Linked DNA regions of Anolis sagrei. The protein of the gene in region 1 purifies or fractionates together with the protein of each later gene. This does not show direct contact. Links are inferred from orthologs where the notes say so. Each region holds a gene or a part of one and is shown in the gene's direction. Other genes may lie near its edges.

What was found.
Region 2: the proteins of RPAP2 (region 1) and PDRG1 purify together in Homo sapiens (affinity purification with mass spectrometry; 3 studies listed by BioGRID and IntAct, with this or other methods). This does not show direct contact. The link is inferred for Anolis sagrei from reciprocal best matches to the Homo sapiens genes RPAP2 and PDRG1.

What each region holds. Positions count from the first base shown.
Region 1 is NC_090024.1:150,132,226-150,139,690, reverse strand, and holds the start of RPAP2 (putative RNA polymerase II subunit B1 CTD phosphatase RPAP2), read left to right. Parts: upstream 1-4,372; 5' UTR 4,373-4,407; coding exon 4,408-4,465; intron 4,466-4,810; coding exon 4,811-4,856; intron 4,857-5,328; coding exon 5,329-5,443; intron 5,444-6,419; coding exon 6,420-6,518; intron 6,519-7,465.
Region 2 is NC_090024.1:242,559,304-242,567,325, reverse strand, and holds the start of PDRG1 (p53 and DNA damage-regulated protein 1), read left to right. Parts: upstream 1-4,932; 5' UTR 4,933-5,082; coding exon 5,083-5,169; intron 5,170-8,022. UniProt on the Homo sapiens protein: May play a role in chaperone-mediated protein folding.

The sequences.
Region 1 (7,465 bases):
ATTTTTTAAAATAGAATTGAATGAGATACACTTTAAATATATTGCAAAACTGGCAGAACCTTTTTTTTAAATCATTAAGATATCTTATAAGAACAAAGCATGAAAAGGGTATTTAGTAAAGTTAGGAATCAATCAGGTCAAGAAACTGCAGCCCTTTGAATTATTTTGGACTTCACCTCCCACCAACCTTAACAACACAGCTAATGGTGAAGGATGCTTGAAGCCTCACTCAGCTGTATCTTGAAGATTACGCTTCACTCTACAAGAGATGGTGAGAAGGAAACCTCTTAAAATCAAATTTGAAATCTTCCAGTCCATGAACTTATACACTACACAATGTGTATCTGTACTATGAAATATATTGTGAAGAATTTCCTAGAATAGGGATTAGATCGTTTTAATAACAGATTATATTATCTGTGCCAAAACCTTTAGGTACCAAAAGGGAACTGCAAAAATCCTAAATGACAAAATATTATTGAATTATAATACAACAGAAAGTGGGACTCAACAAGATACTCTAAACGTGTTGCATTGCCATTTACCAGAATGTTTTAAAGGGCAACCCTAGTTTAATGAGAATTAAAAAGGACACCTTCTGATTAAGTATAGTTAAGAGCTTTACAGCTGGCCATTAAGCATATTATAGGAAGCAGTTCTGCTGAGGGGCAATAAAGTGCTCTGAAATACTCTGACTTTTAAAAGCCAGGATGTATACATAAACTTTCTATTAATTTATTTTTTTAATATTTTTTTTATTTTAGGACATACACAACATTTACAATTCCCACCACCATGAAGATTGTTTTCTTTTACATATTAATCCTTTTGGAGATTTTTTATTTTCTTATTCTCATCCCATTCAAGAAAGAAGTAAAGTTACAGCCAAGTAAGAGCAGGCAAAGAGGAAGCGAAGCAAAGAGCACATTGTAGTATTTGGAAGCTATCTGCTTTGTGGGGCCAGAAAAAGTCTCTAGCAAGTGGTCTTTAACGTGCAAAACAGGGGAAAGGGAGTTGAACAGGACATTAAAGGAATCTGGCAGCACCTGTAAGATACATTTCTAGTTTATAACTTTCTTTTTTGTGTAGACATTGACCCACAAAAACGGATGCTAAAATAAAAACTAATCTTAAAAAGTGTGGCTAGATTTCCCCCAACCCTTTCCCTCGCTTTTCTTCTTGTTATGCTACAACAGGCTAACATAACCCCTTCTTTAAAAATTATTTTAATTGTCAATTAACAATATCATACGAAAACTGACTGGCACAAGCTGGGGATCACAACCAGACACAGTGAAGACATCTCCCCTTGCGCTATGCTACTCTGCTGCTGAGTATGCATGCCCAGTGTGGAACACATCTCACCACACTAAAACAGTGGATGTGGCTCTTAATGAGACATGCCGCATTATCACAGGGTGTCTGCGCCCTACACCACTGGAAAAATTACACTGTCTAGCCGGTATCGCACCACCTGACATCCGCCGGGAAGTAGCAACCAATAGTGAAAGGACCAATCCTTTGTTTGGGTATCAGTCAGCATGTCAACGACTTAAATCAAGAAATAGTTTTCTAAGATCTACAGAGACACTCGCTGGAACATCTCAGCAAGTGAGAGTCCAAAAGTGGCAGGCTCCAACCCAGAACCTCAATCAATGGCAGATACCAAATGAGAGACTCCCCCCTGGGCACACAGAAAACTGGGCAACATGGAAAGCATTGAACAGACTGCGCTCTGGCACCACGAGATTCAGAGCCAACCTTAAGAAATGGGGCTACAAAGTGGAATCCACGGCATGCGAGTGTGGAGAAGAGCAAACCACTGACCACCTGCTGCAATGCAACCTGAGCCCCGCCACAAGCACAATGGAGGACCTCCTTGCGGTAACACCAGAGGCACTCCAAATGGCCAGATACTGGTCAAAGGACATTTAATCAACTACCAAGCTTGCAAACTTTCTGTTTTGTCTGCTTGTTTTGTTAAAAATGTAATACAAATGTCTGGTTGCTCCTGACACAATAAATAACATTTTAATTGTTTCCTTAAAGGAAGACCATTTATGTAGCTAGAAGGAGATTGAAAAAGTGTTCAAATCTACCAGAGACCATACAACATTGGTCCTCAACCTGTGGGTCCTCAGGTGTTTTGGCGTACAACTCCCAGAAATCCCAGTTTACCAGCTGTTAGGAGGCAAAAACATCTGGGACCCACAGGTTGAGAACCACTGCCATACAACATAGATAAAAAGTACTCTGCACATGCTCAAGGGCAATTACTCTTTAACTATAAAAAGTATACACCCTTAACCGCTTATAACAGAGGGGGAGGGTGCATTAAAATGTGTACAGTCCCCAAGTTACAAACAAGATAGGTTCTGCAGGTTTGTTCTTAAGTTGAATTTGTATGTAAGTCAGAACAGGTACATTTTATTAAGTGCAACTCCAGAGATATATATATCTATCTACCTATCTTTGGTTAGCATAGGGAAAGGTTGACACGCCCATGGTGTTTCTTTTGCTGTCTGTTCCCCTGTTCAGAAGATTTCACAGCACTTTCTGTCCCTGTGAGAATTGGATTGTGAAAAATATGACTTGTTGTGGAAACAAGGACTGGTGATAAAGCTTCAGGGGAGACACGTTTTCCCCATGCTAACTCTTCCAGGAGTGAATTTCCCTTCCTAGGAGTAGATTTCTCTCACTTCCTGTTGTCTCACCCCCATTCTTAACTAGGAGTCGTCTATAAGTCAGATGTTTGTAACTCGGGGACTGCCAGTACATCCTTAACAAGATCAAAGATTCCAATGTGGTGCACAATTAGTAGTGAAACCTCAAATGAAATGTGCAACTCTATGCTTTGACCATGGGGTCATTGCATGGCTGCGCTCGCACATGAATTTGAACTCCTTCTATGGTTTCAGCATTGGAGTATGACTCTGAGACCGGGGTTCGTATTCCCACTCAGCCATAGAAACCCTCTGGGTAACCTTGGGCAAGTCATGCTCTCTCAGCCTCAGAAGACCAAGGCAAATAACTTCTGAACAAACCTTCCTGTACAAACCCAGTGAATGGTTCTCCATAGGTCTGAAACGAATTGGGAGGCACACAAGGAACAAGTAAACGTACTCTAAAATGGAATCTATAACTTTAGCTAATTAGTATAACATTTCATCTTCAATATAAACATATATATTTAACATCCAAATAATCTCCATAAAGGTAAAGGTTTCCGTTATAGTCTATAATCTCCATAGCTATTATTAGCTGTTAAAAGTGTGTACATTGGGGGGGGGGGGGGACTATACATCCCAGGTGCTTCTACACTATATAATTAATGCAGTTTGATACCTCTGTAACTGCCCTGGCTCAATGCTATGGAAACCTGGGAGTTGTAGTTTCACAAGGCCTTTAGCCTTCCCTGCAAAAATGAATCCTATGAGTTGTAGTTTCGCAAAGCCTTTGGCCTTCCCTGCTAAATGAATCCTGGGAGTTATAGTTTCACAAGGCCTTTAGCCTTCCCTGCCAAAGGAATCCTATGAGTTATAGTTTCACAAGGCCTTTGGCCTTCCCTGCTAAATGAATCCTATGAGTTATAGTTTCACAAGGCCTTTAGCCTTCCCTGTCAAAGGAATCCTGGGAGTTATAGTTGCACAAGGCCTTTGGTATTCCCTGCTAAATGAATCCTGGGAGTTATAGTTTCACAAGGCCTTTAGCCTTCCCTGCCAAAGGAATCCTAGGAGTTATAGTTGCACAAGGCCTTTGGCTTTCCCTGCTAAATGAATCCTGGGAGTTATAGTTTCACAAGGCCTTTGGCCGTCCCTGCCAAATGAATCCTAGGAATTGTAGTTTCACAAGGCCTTTAGACTTCCCTGTCAAAGGAATCATAGGAGTTGTAGTTTCACAAGGCCTTTAGCATTCCCTGCCAAAGAAATCCTGGGAATTGTAGTTTCACAAGGCCTTAGGCCTTTCCTGTCAATGGAATCCTGAGAGTTGTAGTTTCACAGGGTCTTTATTTTTCCCTCCAAACTACAACTCCCAGGCTCCCATAGCATTTCAGAGAAGGGAGACTCCCCTTGCACCAGCCTTGGAAGTGAAAGAAGGCTGCAACTCCTTTCCAGGCTTCACTTGGGAGCCTCTCTGAACCCTAGAAACGAAAGACAAAGAGTGAATCCCTCCTAAACTACTATGCCTTAGACCTGGGCTGTCCCTCCTCCCTGGCGCCCTCCCGCCTGTGACCCCAACCTGCAGCAAGACTCCCTCCTCTTACCTCCGCCTTCCCTCTTTCCAAAGAGACCGGTCTACCAGCACGGCCTCATGACTATTCTCAGGCCACGCCCCTTTGGGAGAAGCCACGCCCCTTTCCCAAACAACGCAGGCGCAGTGAGGGGTTAGAGGTCTTTCCCGGCAGCGATGGCGGAAGAGAGGACCCGCAGCGGCTCCAAGGCCAGGAGGCAGCGCCGGCGCCCGGGTAAACGCAGCTGTTTGTATCTATCCCCCCCCCTTTTCATCACATGGACTGTTCCTTCTCCCTTCCTCAATATGTGGAGGCGAAACCAATCCTATCTTCCAAGGGGGTGGCTTTCTAGGGATGGGAGATGCTCTATAGCTGTGATTATTCCTATACTACTGTAGGAATAATATAGTTGAACTGCCAGGGCTCAGTGCTATGGAATCGTGGGAGTTGTAGTTTTATAAGGGCAAGTTTCTCCCTAAGCAAACAGCGGGTTCCCACTCTGTTCCTACAAAAGCTTGAATTGATCATGTGATTTCATGTGGTTTGTCATCTCCCTGTATTTTTGGTTGTTCCTCTTAGGTAATAAACAGCCCAGTGTCCTGACAAATGAAGATGCTGCACAAAGGTATCCTGTCTCTCAGAATAACTGTTTGGTTGCATTATGTGTTTATATCTATTTTGTAAATCCTTCAAAAGGTTTATGAATCAACTAGCTGTCCCCTGCCACACATTGCTGTGGCCAAATCTGTGTATTTGTGTTTTGTGTGTGTGTATTTGGGTATCTATATATATGTGTGTGTGGTTTTGCGCATGCATTGTAATGTATTTCTTTTTATTTGAGGGCTTTTAGATGTTTCTCATGACTTTCTGATATTCCCTTCTCTTTGAGACACATATTCTGCCCTGTTTAACCTATTAAAGACTGGCAGGTCTTTAGTCCAGCTGGCACAGTTTGAAATGAAAAGTGGGTGCCATTGTGTTCTTTGCTTCAGGCATCAAATGTTTTGCGCTGGATCTGTTCGTACCCACTTGTTTCTTAAGCAACTTCATATGAATTGCCAAAATGTGGGTCACACCACTATTTTTTCCCCTTGTAGGAAAGCAGCACTTGAAGCTGCTATTCGAAAGAAGATTGCGCATGAGCGAAAAGCCTTGAAGGTGGTTGAACGCCTCTTAGAAGACGATATCACTGAAGAATTCCTCACAAATTGTGTATGTCGTCTTGTTGCAGATTTATATAAAATATTTAGTTTAAATGTGTCAAGGTCTCCTATAGCTTGTTATGCAGTTAATGGTTCCTTTCCAAAGATAGTTTATCAATCTTTGGAGAGGCACCATAGATGTGTGTTAGCTTGGCAGTCTATGGCCCCTTCTACACTGCCATATAAAATCCAGATTATCTGATTTGAACTGGATTATCTGGCAGTGTAGATTCATGTAATCCAGTTCAAAGCAGATAATGTGAATTATCTGGGAATCATATAACCCTCTCAATCACTGCTTCTTAAACTGGGGTCTCCAAACTAGGTCCCCATAGCTCAATGTGGGGGTCCTGAAAAAATTGGCAAATGTAAACATTTTCTGAATGTCACCTAGTTGCTGTTTTAGACATGTACATGAATCTGTTGTGCAGCATTTACAGCAGACTCTGCAAAAGGAAATGTTTGATTTTTATACCAGTTTTATCTACCCAGGGCTGTGTAAAACTGTATTGGGCCAAAAGGTGTCACAAGTGGAAAAGTTTAAGAAGTCCTCTTCTCAATGACCTTGGGCTGCTGTTGTCAGCATTTCCCACTATTGTCTAGGCTGGTTCGTGCTTCTAAAAGTTTAATTCACAGCATTTGGAGGACTGCAAGGTTTCCCATTTCCTATAGGACATATTCCAAAGGGAGACTCAGCGTGAGGTAGAGGCTTGAGCATTGACTAAAACAACTGTAGTCCAAGGTTTGTAAATTAGAGATGTGTGAAACAGGAGAAATCTGTTCTGTTTTTGTTTCCAATTTTGAGTCCGTCCACCCATTCTGTTTTCATGAAGATTCTTCCCAAAACAGAAATTGAACTTGTTTTGTCGAACCCAAATGACTCCCCTCCTAATCTTCCTTTCTACTGTTTTACACACCGCTTCTTTGTATCCCTGCTCATCCATGAAAACCCACATTTCAAGGCAAATCTGTTTATTTCTTTTCAGGGGAAGTTCATTACACCTTCTCACTATAAAGATGTTGTGGAAGAGCGGTTTATCGTCAAACTGTGTGGCTACCCCATCTGTCGAAATAGGCTGCAGAATGTAAGAGTCTGTGAGTGGTGTATGTGTTGGTTCTTTTTCTGTAATTTTTTGAAATTTAAAATGCATTTCTTCCTGAAAATTATCCAGTACTTGCTTTTTTCGCCCATTTTCATTATCTTCCTGTGTTACAAATTCAAAACTGATTTAAAATGTCTACAGGGTTGCTTTGTGAGTAAGGATGTGAGCCTGGATATCCGCAGTTTTGAATCTGATAGTATATGCCAGTGGTTCTCAACCTGTGGGTCCTCAGATGTTTTGGCCTACAACTCCCAGTAATCCCAGCCAGTTTACCAGCTGTTAGGATTTCTGGAAGTTGAAAGCCAAAACATCTGGGAACCCACAGGTTGAGAACCACTGGTATATACTATATTGGCCCCCGGCATGGGTTAAAACTATGTAGTGTTCTTGCCACCTCTTTGTCCTGCCTCTGCTTTCATCCAATGTGATCAAGGAGAGGAAATCAAGCTCTGCATAATTTAGTTCTCTCTCTAACCTGGAAAAATTGTGTTAAATCTTAACTGTGGTTTACTGAAATTAGCAAACATCAGATTTAGGATTAAGAAGATAGTTTCAACAAATCATTGCTCAGATTAAACATTGTAGGTTTTGTGCACTATGGCAAACTTTAGAAAATGAGATTAAGCTTTCCTTTCTCCTTGCAGCCAAGCTAGGAGGAGAGGGAGAGTTTGGCACCAAAGAAGCCAATATTCTGGCACATAATAATTAACAGTAATATATTGTTACAGGCATACTGGTCCATCGGCTCTCATCGTACATAATAACACACTGTAATGTTTTGCTACATGTTTGCTGGTCCATTGGCTCTCCTTATCCATAATAATACACTGTAATGTATTGTTTCTTGCAGACTGGCCCTTTGACTCATTTCACAAGAGCAAAAGGGGTGATTCAGTTTTAGTTGATGCAACTTAGGAGGATTCCTTGGA
Region 2 (8,022 bases), about 92 Mb from region 1:
CTCCCCTTTTTGGGCAAGGTTCTGGAGCAAGTGGTGGCTTTTCAGCTCCAGGGATTCTTGGATTAAGCCAGTTATCTTAATTTCTCACAGTCTGGTTTTAGGCCTGGTCACATAATGAGATAGCTTTGGTCACCTAGGTGGATGACCTTCACAGAGAGCTAGGCAAGGAGACTGTGTCCTTGTTGGTTTTCTTGGACATCTCAGTGGCTTTTGATACCATCAACCATGATATCCTTCTAGGTCAGCTCTCCGAAATGGATCTTGGGGCCATTGCTCTGTAAGGGCTCTGCTCCTTCCTGAAGAATTGCTGGGGAGCTCCTGCTCGGACCCCTGGCCATTGACCTGTGGGGTCTCACAAGTTTCTATTCTATCCCCCATGCTTTTCGATATCTACATGAAGACGCTGGGTGAGGTTGTTATAGAGCTAAAATTTAGGGGTCTTTGCCAGGAGGCAGAGACCAATTAGACTCATCAAAGAGTTCTTTTTCCCTGGCGAGACAGAGAAGCATCCCATATTTTTCCCTGATTTCCCAATGAAAAGTCTCACCAGTTGAAGAAAAGCCATCGAGGTTTAATGCGATTCAGCTGGAACAGATGCAAAGCTGCAATCATTCGCCAAAGCTAAGCATGAGGGGAGTACACCAATACAGTCATATTTATAGCAAATTCAAAGTTGCAGAGTTCAAACTCCCCGCCCCGGCTTCCCTATTGTTCCCCAACGTGACTGGCCAATGGGCGAACAGCTGGGAGGCGGCTCTCCCACCTCCGGCGCCTCTGGACCAATCAGGAAGCTCAAGTGGTCCGTAGGATCCAATGGGGAGACCTCTTTTCAATTCTGGCTTTGATGGCATTGGTTCTAATGGCTTGTTCTTGGGCTGCCAGAATCAGGCCCTCCTTTGTCTCCTTTTTCAGAGTTCTATTTGTGAGCCACAGCCATGTTTTTTCTTTGTCAATTTGGCTCTCAATTTTTCCCAGGAACTGTCCATGGAGAGCCTTCTTTTACCAGTTTTCTCTTCTGCTCTGGATTGTGTTTTTACAGTATTCCCTCTTTGTCTTTTGCACTTTAAGCAGTTTACTCTATTGACTTCCCTCAATGTTGGTTCTTGACTGCCTTTCATATAATCTGCCAGGGCGTGTTTCTCTTCTTCTACTGTTTGTTTCAGAAGAGAAACACGCACTGGCAGATTATGTGAAAGGCAGTCAAGAACCAACATTGAGGGAAGTCAATTGAGGGGAGTTATTGAGGGAAGGTATTATTATTATTATTATTATTAGAGTTCTCATCCTGGGATCTTTAGAAACCATACATTTTAGGATGGGAGCAGAGGCATCTTCCCTCCAGTTAATACACGATCACAAACACATGCGCACAAACATGGAAAGTGCCACATATCATATTGCAGAACACAGCCTGGCGCTCCATATGTTAGGGAGAGATTCATTTTCAACCACTGATAGCAGATGGTAAGGCAGCCCTGTTTCCCCAGCATATCTAACCTAAAGAACAAACACCTTTCTTGGCTGATAAATCTGCTAAAGCTGTACAGGGGATGTATAAATTGTTGTTAAAATACAAAATTGAGGAAGAAGAAGTGAAAGACTGTATGGTTAAATGGATTCATAATACAGATTCAGCTGGAGCAATGGGCGATGGCCAGGACAAAGAATTTGAAACTTACTTTTGAAGTTGAAATTTGGAGAGCTAAGGATCACGGACACTGAGAGTCCATGCCCGGTGAGCTCAGCTAATTGCCAAAGTTCCCGATGAAATATGGCTCACCAGTGCTGAAGATCAGGAGAGGCTTTAATATACAATCTGCAGAAGGGATGCAATGTACAGCAAAGGATGCCAAAATATACAAGCATAAACATATGGGAATGTGCAACCATTTTATACAGAAAAGGATCCATGCATTAACACTGTCAAGGTTTGAATTTTCCCTTCCTTGCCTTGGATTGGCTGAGCGCCAAAGCTGGCTGCCTCCCTCCTCCCTCCTGATTGGCCAGGAGGCGGGGCTGGACTGGCTTGTTCTCTGATTGGTGTAGACCTTGGGATTCCCAGGTGTGCAAGTCCATAATGGTCGGGCCAAACCCAAGTCCACAGGGCACAGAGTGTTGCAATTCAGAGTAAGCTTTGCCTTGCTTCCAAACACCACCACACAAAAGCTGTAGTTTTATAGTTTGCTGAGGAAAAAGTCCAAGTCAAAATAAAGAATAAGCATTGCAAAGTTCCAAAGAGTTTGGTTAAATGCAGAATATAGTTCCAAAGATCTTCAGGTAAAAACAAGAGGCACAATCCTTTAGGCAAAGTTCAAAACAGAGTCCATGGTACAAACAGTGAAACAATTGCCCCAACAACACAAGGAGTGACTATCACTCAAAAAATATGATTTTGTCATTTGAGAGTTGTAATTGCTGGGATTTATAGGTCACCTATAATCAAAGAGCATTCTGGACTCCACCAACGATGGAATTGAACCACACTTGGCATACAGGAATCCCTTGACCATCAGAAAATATTGGAAGGGTTGTTGTAGGTTTTTCCGGGCTATATGGCCATGTTCTGGAGGAAATTTTTCTCCTGACGTTTCACTTGCATCTATGGCAAGCATCCTCAGAGGTAATGAGGTCTGTTGGAACTGGGAAAAATGGGTTTATATATCTGTGGAATGACCAGGGTGGGACAAAGGACTTTTGTTTGCTGGGGCTAGCTGTGAATGTTTCAGCTGATCACCTTGATTAGCATTCAATGGCTTGGAAGCGCCTGGGGGGAATCCTTTGTTGAGAGTGATTTCATGTGCCTGTTTGTTTCCCCTCTGTTGTTTTGCTGCTGTAATTTTAGAGTTTTTTTAATAATGGTAGCCAGATTTTGTTCATCTTCACGGTTTCCTCCTTTCTGTTGAAATTGTCCACATGCTTGTGTATTTCAATGGCTTCTCTGTGTAGTCTGACATGGTGGTTGTGAGAGTGGTCCAGCATTTCTGTGTTCTCAAATAAAATGCTGTGTCCAGGTTGGTTCATCAGGTGCTCTGCTATGGCTGATTTCTCTGGTTGGAGTAGTTTGCAGTGCCTTTCATGTTCCTTGATCCGTGTTTGGGTGCTGCATTGGGTGGTCCCTCTGTAGACTTGTCCACAGCTGCATGGTATACGGTAGACTCCTGCAGAGGTGAGAGGATCCCTCTTGTCCTTTGCTGAACGGAGCATTTGTTGGATTTTCTTGGTGGGTCTGTAGATAGTTTGTATGTTGTGCTTCCTCATCAGTTTCCCTATGCGGTCAGTGGTTCCCTTGATGTATAGCAGGAACACTTTTCCTCTGGGTGGGTCTTCATCTTTACTCTCGTGGCTTGTTCTTGGTCTTGCAGCTCTTCCGATGTCTAAGGTGGAGTCTCCATTGGCCTGGAGAACCCAGTTGAGGTGGTTCAGTTCATCTTGGAGAAGGTGGGCTTCGCAGATTCTTTTTGCACGGTCTGCCAAGGCTTTAATGGTGCTTCTTTTTTGACTTGGGTGATGGCTGGAGTTTTTGTGTAGATATCTATCCGTGTGTGTGGGTTTTCTGTAGACGGTGTGACCCAATTGTTGATCTGGTTTGCGGATGACTAGGACATCTAGAAAAGGCAGTCTTCCTTCATTTTTTTTCCATGGTGAACTGGATTTTTGGGTGGATGCTGTTAAGATGGTCCAGGAACCTGTTGAGTTCTTCATCTCCATGGCTCCAAATGGTGAAGGTGTCATCCACATATCTGAACCATATCGTGGGCTTTTTGGTTGCTGTCTCCAGGGCTTGTTTTTCAAAGTGTTCCATGTAGAAGTTAGCTATGACCGGGCTGAGAGGGCTCCCCATAGCTACTCCATCTTTCTGTTCGTAGAATTTATTGTCCCACTGAAAGTAACTGGTGGTGAGGCAATGGTGAAACAGAGCCGTGATGTCTTCTGGGAACCTCTGGTTGATGAGTGCCATGGTGTCTGCGACTGGGACCATGGTGAATAGAGATACCACATCGAAGCTGATCAGTTTGTCGTTTGTATTTAGCTTGAGATTGCTGATTTTTTCTATGAAGTGGGCTGAGTCCTTGATGTAGTGTGTGGTGAGCCCAATATAGCTTTGTAACTGTGCAGCAAGAAATTTTGCTAGGTCGTATGTGGGGGATCCAATGGCACTCACGATGGGTCTGAGTGGGGTGGAGTCCTTGTGGATTTTTGGGATTTTTGGGAGTCCATAAAGCCTAGGTGGAAGGGTTCAGCTGAAACATTCACAGCTAGCTCCAGCAGACAAGAGTCCTTTGTCTCACCCTGGTCATTCCACAGATATATAAACCCATTTTCCTACTTCCAACAGACCTCACTACCTCTGAGGATGCTTGCCACAGATGCAGGCGAAACGTCAGGAGAAATATTGCCTCCAGAACATGGCCATATACCCCGAAAAAACCCACAAGAACCTAGAACATTACATTTTTATTTATATCGATAATCGCATTATTACAATACTTTATGATTATTTTATTTGTATTATATTAGAAAATATTATCATAAAATACATACAGATCACAATACACAGTACCAAGATTAAAATGCAATGAAACAGAATGTAAATGTAATATATAACAACTGAAGCAAGAATACTCTATGCACAAAGATGGAAGGAACCATTTACCCAAAGCCTGAAGGATTCAGAGGAGGCGGGGCCTAGCTAGTTGCCGTGGCAACCTCCCACCCTAGTGAGATCTGAAGGCTTCAAAAGAAGGCGAGGCCTAGTAAGGCCTGAAGGCTTGAAGAGAAGGCGGGACTTAGTCAGTTGCCGTGGCAACCGCTCGCCCAGCCAATTCCCAAGCTCGGGCCTACTCTGTTGCCGTGGCAACCCCCCTTCCTAGTGAGTCCTTGAAGGCGGGGCCTAGCGAGACTTGAGGCTTTCAAGAGAAGTGGGGGTGGGGCTTAGTCAGTTGCCGTGGCAACCCCCTTCCCAGCCAATTACCAGCTTCGGGCCTACTCCGTTGCCGTGGCAACCTCCCGCCCTCGGCTTGCGTGACGCCTGCGCCGACTAGGCCTCGCCTCCGATTTCTTCCCGTTCCCGTTCCGGACGCGATGGGCGCCGTGGACCCTGCCTTCGTGGTGGGCTACTTGGCGGAGGTGGAAACCCTGGCCGAGGAGGTGATGGCCGGCCGGCAGCAGGTAGGCCCCAAACTGAGGCCTACTTCTCCCAAGTAGGCCCATGCCTGCCTTAGAAGGAGAGCAGGCATGGGCCAACTTGGGCCTTCCCTCCAGGCGTTTTGGACTTCAACTCCCACAATCCCTAACAGCCGGTTGTCTGTTAGGAATTGTGGGAGTTGAAGTCCAAAACGCCTGGAGGGAAGGCCCAAGTTGGCCCATGCCTGAGACTATCGAACAGCTGTAGGTTTGAAATATTCTGTGATTATTCCACTTCTTTATATATGTGTCCAGAGAAAGGCGACTCAAATGATCAAGGATCTGGAGAACAAACCCTATGAGGAGCGGCTTAAAGAGCTGGGCATGTTTAGCCTTCAAAAAAGAAGGCTGAGAGGAATTCATGATGAGGACCATCGATCAAGATGTGAGGGGAAGTCATAGGGAGGAGAGAGCAAGATTGTTTTTTTATTATTATTATTATTCACTTTATTTATACCCCGCTAACATTTCCCGAAGGACTCGGTGCAGCTTACGAGAAGCCAAGGCCAACACATCAATAAAACAACAGCATAACAAATACAACAATAAGTAAACTCATAAAGCAAATCAGTAACATTAGAATCATAGAGTTGGAAGAGACCTCATGGGCCATCCAGTCCAACCCCATTCTGCCAAGAAGCAGGAATATTGCATTCAAATCACTCCTGACAGATGGACATCCAGCCCCTGTTTAAAAGCTTCCAAAGAAGGAGCCTTCACCACACTCCAGGGCAGAGAGTTCCACTGCTGAACGGCTCTCACAGTCAGGAAGTTCTTCCTCATGTTCAGATGGAATCTCCTTTCTTGTAGTTTGAAGCCATTGTTCCCTTGCGTCCTAGTCTTCAGGGAAGCAGAAAGGAAGGTTGCTCCTTCCTACCTAAGACTTCCTCTCACATATTTATACATAGCCCTCATCCTGTCTCCTCTCAGCCTTCTCTTCTTCAGGCTAAACATGCCCAGCTCCTTAAGCCGCTCCTCATAGGGCTTGTTCGCCAGACCTTTTATCATTTTAGTCGCCCTCCTCTGGACACATTCCAGCTTGTCAATATCTCTCTTGAATTGTGGTGCCCACGATTGGACACAACATTCCAGGTGTGGTCTAACCAGAGCGGAATAGAGCATGGGGAGCATGACTTCCCTGGACCTAGACACTAGGCTCCTCTTGATGCAGGCTCTTGCATCTCCAGCAGACAAGAGTCCTTTGTCTCACCCTGGTCATTCCACAGATATAAAGCCTTTTTCCTAGTTCCAACAGACCTCACTACCTCTGAGGATGCTTGCCATAGATGCAGGCGAAACGTCAGGAGAGAATGCCTCTAGAACATGGCCATACAGCCCGAAAAAACCTACAACAACCCAGTGATTCCAGCCATGAAAGCCTTCGACAATACTCTGAATTTATTGTTTTTAAATGTTTTCATTGTTTTAATATACTTTTAAATTCTATTTCAACATTTATTTAAGTGTACGTTGCATATTAAGACATCGAATTGTTGCCTGTATGTAAAACTGCCTTGATTTCCCTCCAGGATGAGAAAGGTGGGGTAGCAATGTCATAAATAAATAAATAAATAATAGGTAGAAGCATCCTTTTCTTCATTCTGTACTCCTTCCAGCTTCCCTCCCTCTGTCTCCCTCTCTCTCTTCATGAAGACAAACAAAACGGGAATAAAAACCACACAAAATCAACTGACTCAAAAGTTCCTCAAAGCGGACAAGAGCAAAGCAGACAGCAATCTCCCAAAGTGGACAAGAGCACAAGTCAGGAGGGCTGCTCCCTTGAAGCCCTAAGACCCGTCGCAAACTAGGCTCCTGCGGGAGCAAACCTTGCCAGCATGTCCCTGATGTCATGAGACTGCGCCTCTCTCTCCACCTCTTTCTCAGCCTCTTTCTCCGTGCCAGAGTGGTTTTTCCTTTGCTAGGGCAGCATTGCCAGCATACTCTCTCAGTTGAATTCTGCCAACTGAGAGAGTACGCTGGCAATGCTGCCCTAGCAAAAGAGAAACCACTCTGGCACGGAGAAAGAGGCTGAGAAAGGGGCGGGGCGAGAGGCGCAGCCTCATGACGTCAGGGACGTGCTGGCAAGGTTTGCTCCCGCAGGAGCCTAGTTTGCGGCGGCGGCTGTAAAGCCCTGTACTCTGGTGCTAGCGCCCCCTCTGGCACTAGCTCTTAACTCAAAATGCTGCTCTTATGTCAAAGCAAAACCAGGCCAGGGGAATAGCTCTTAACTTAAAACACTCTTAAGTTGGGACACTCTTAAGTTGAGGTTCCACTGTATATAAAATTAAAACTGCTACATCTAATAAACTAGATCCAAGACGATCATCCTAACATAAAACGCTTCAAATAATAAAAACATACTAGATAGACAACTATTGAATCTTGCACTCTTTGTCTGTTGATTTTCACTCCTTGTTATCCTATTCCCTTTAGATAGCACTGTATATCCACACTTCTACTTTTAAGAACACTCCTCTAATTCATAAACCCAGTCGTTGATGTTTGCTCCCATCTTCCTTAAGGTTCATAAAAGATTTCTGCTTAATCCAAAGAGAATAGTTTCATTAAATCGGTAAAAATCAACCCTGAAAATGTGGAGGGCTGACTGCTCCATTTGGCTTTTAGGGAGAATTCAGTCCTGATTTGTGTTATTTGCCTTTTTGGCAGTCCGCAATATCTGCAGAACTCTTTTCATTGCTACCATAAAAAAGGCGACAATCCCATAGCAAAAGGACTTGGACATTTGTCTGGATTGCAGAAGGGCATAGACCAGTGTTTCTCAACCTGGGGGTTGTGAGGGAGTGTCAGAGGGGTTGCCAAAAGCCACCAGAAAACACA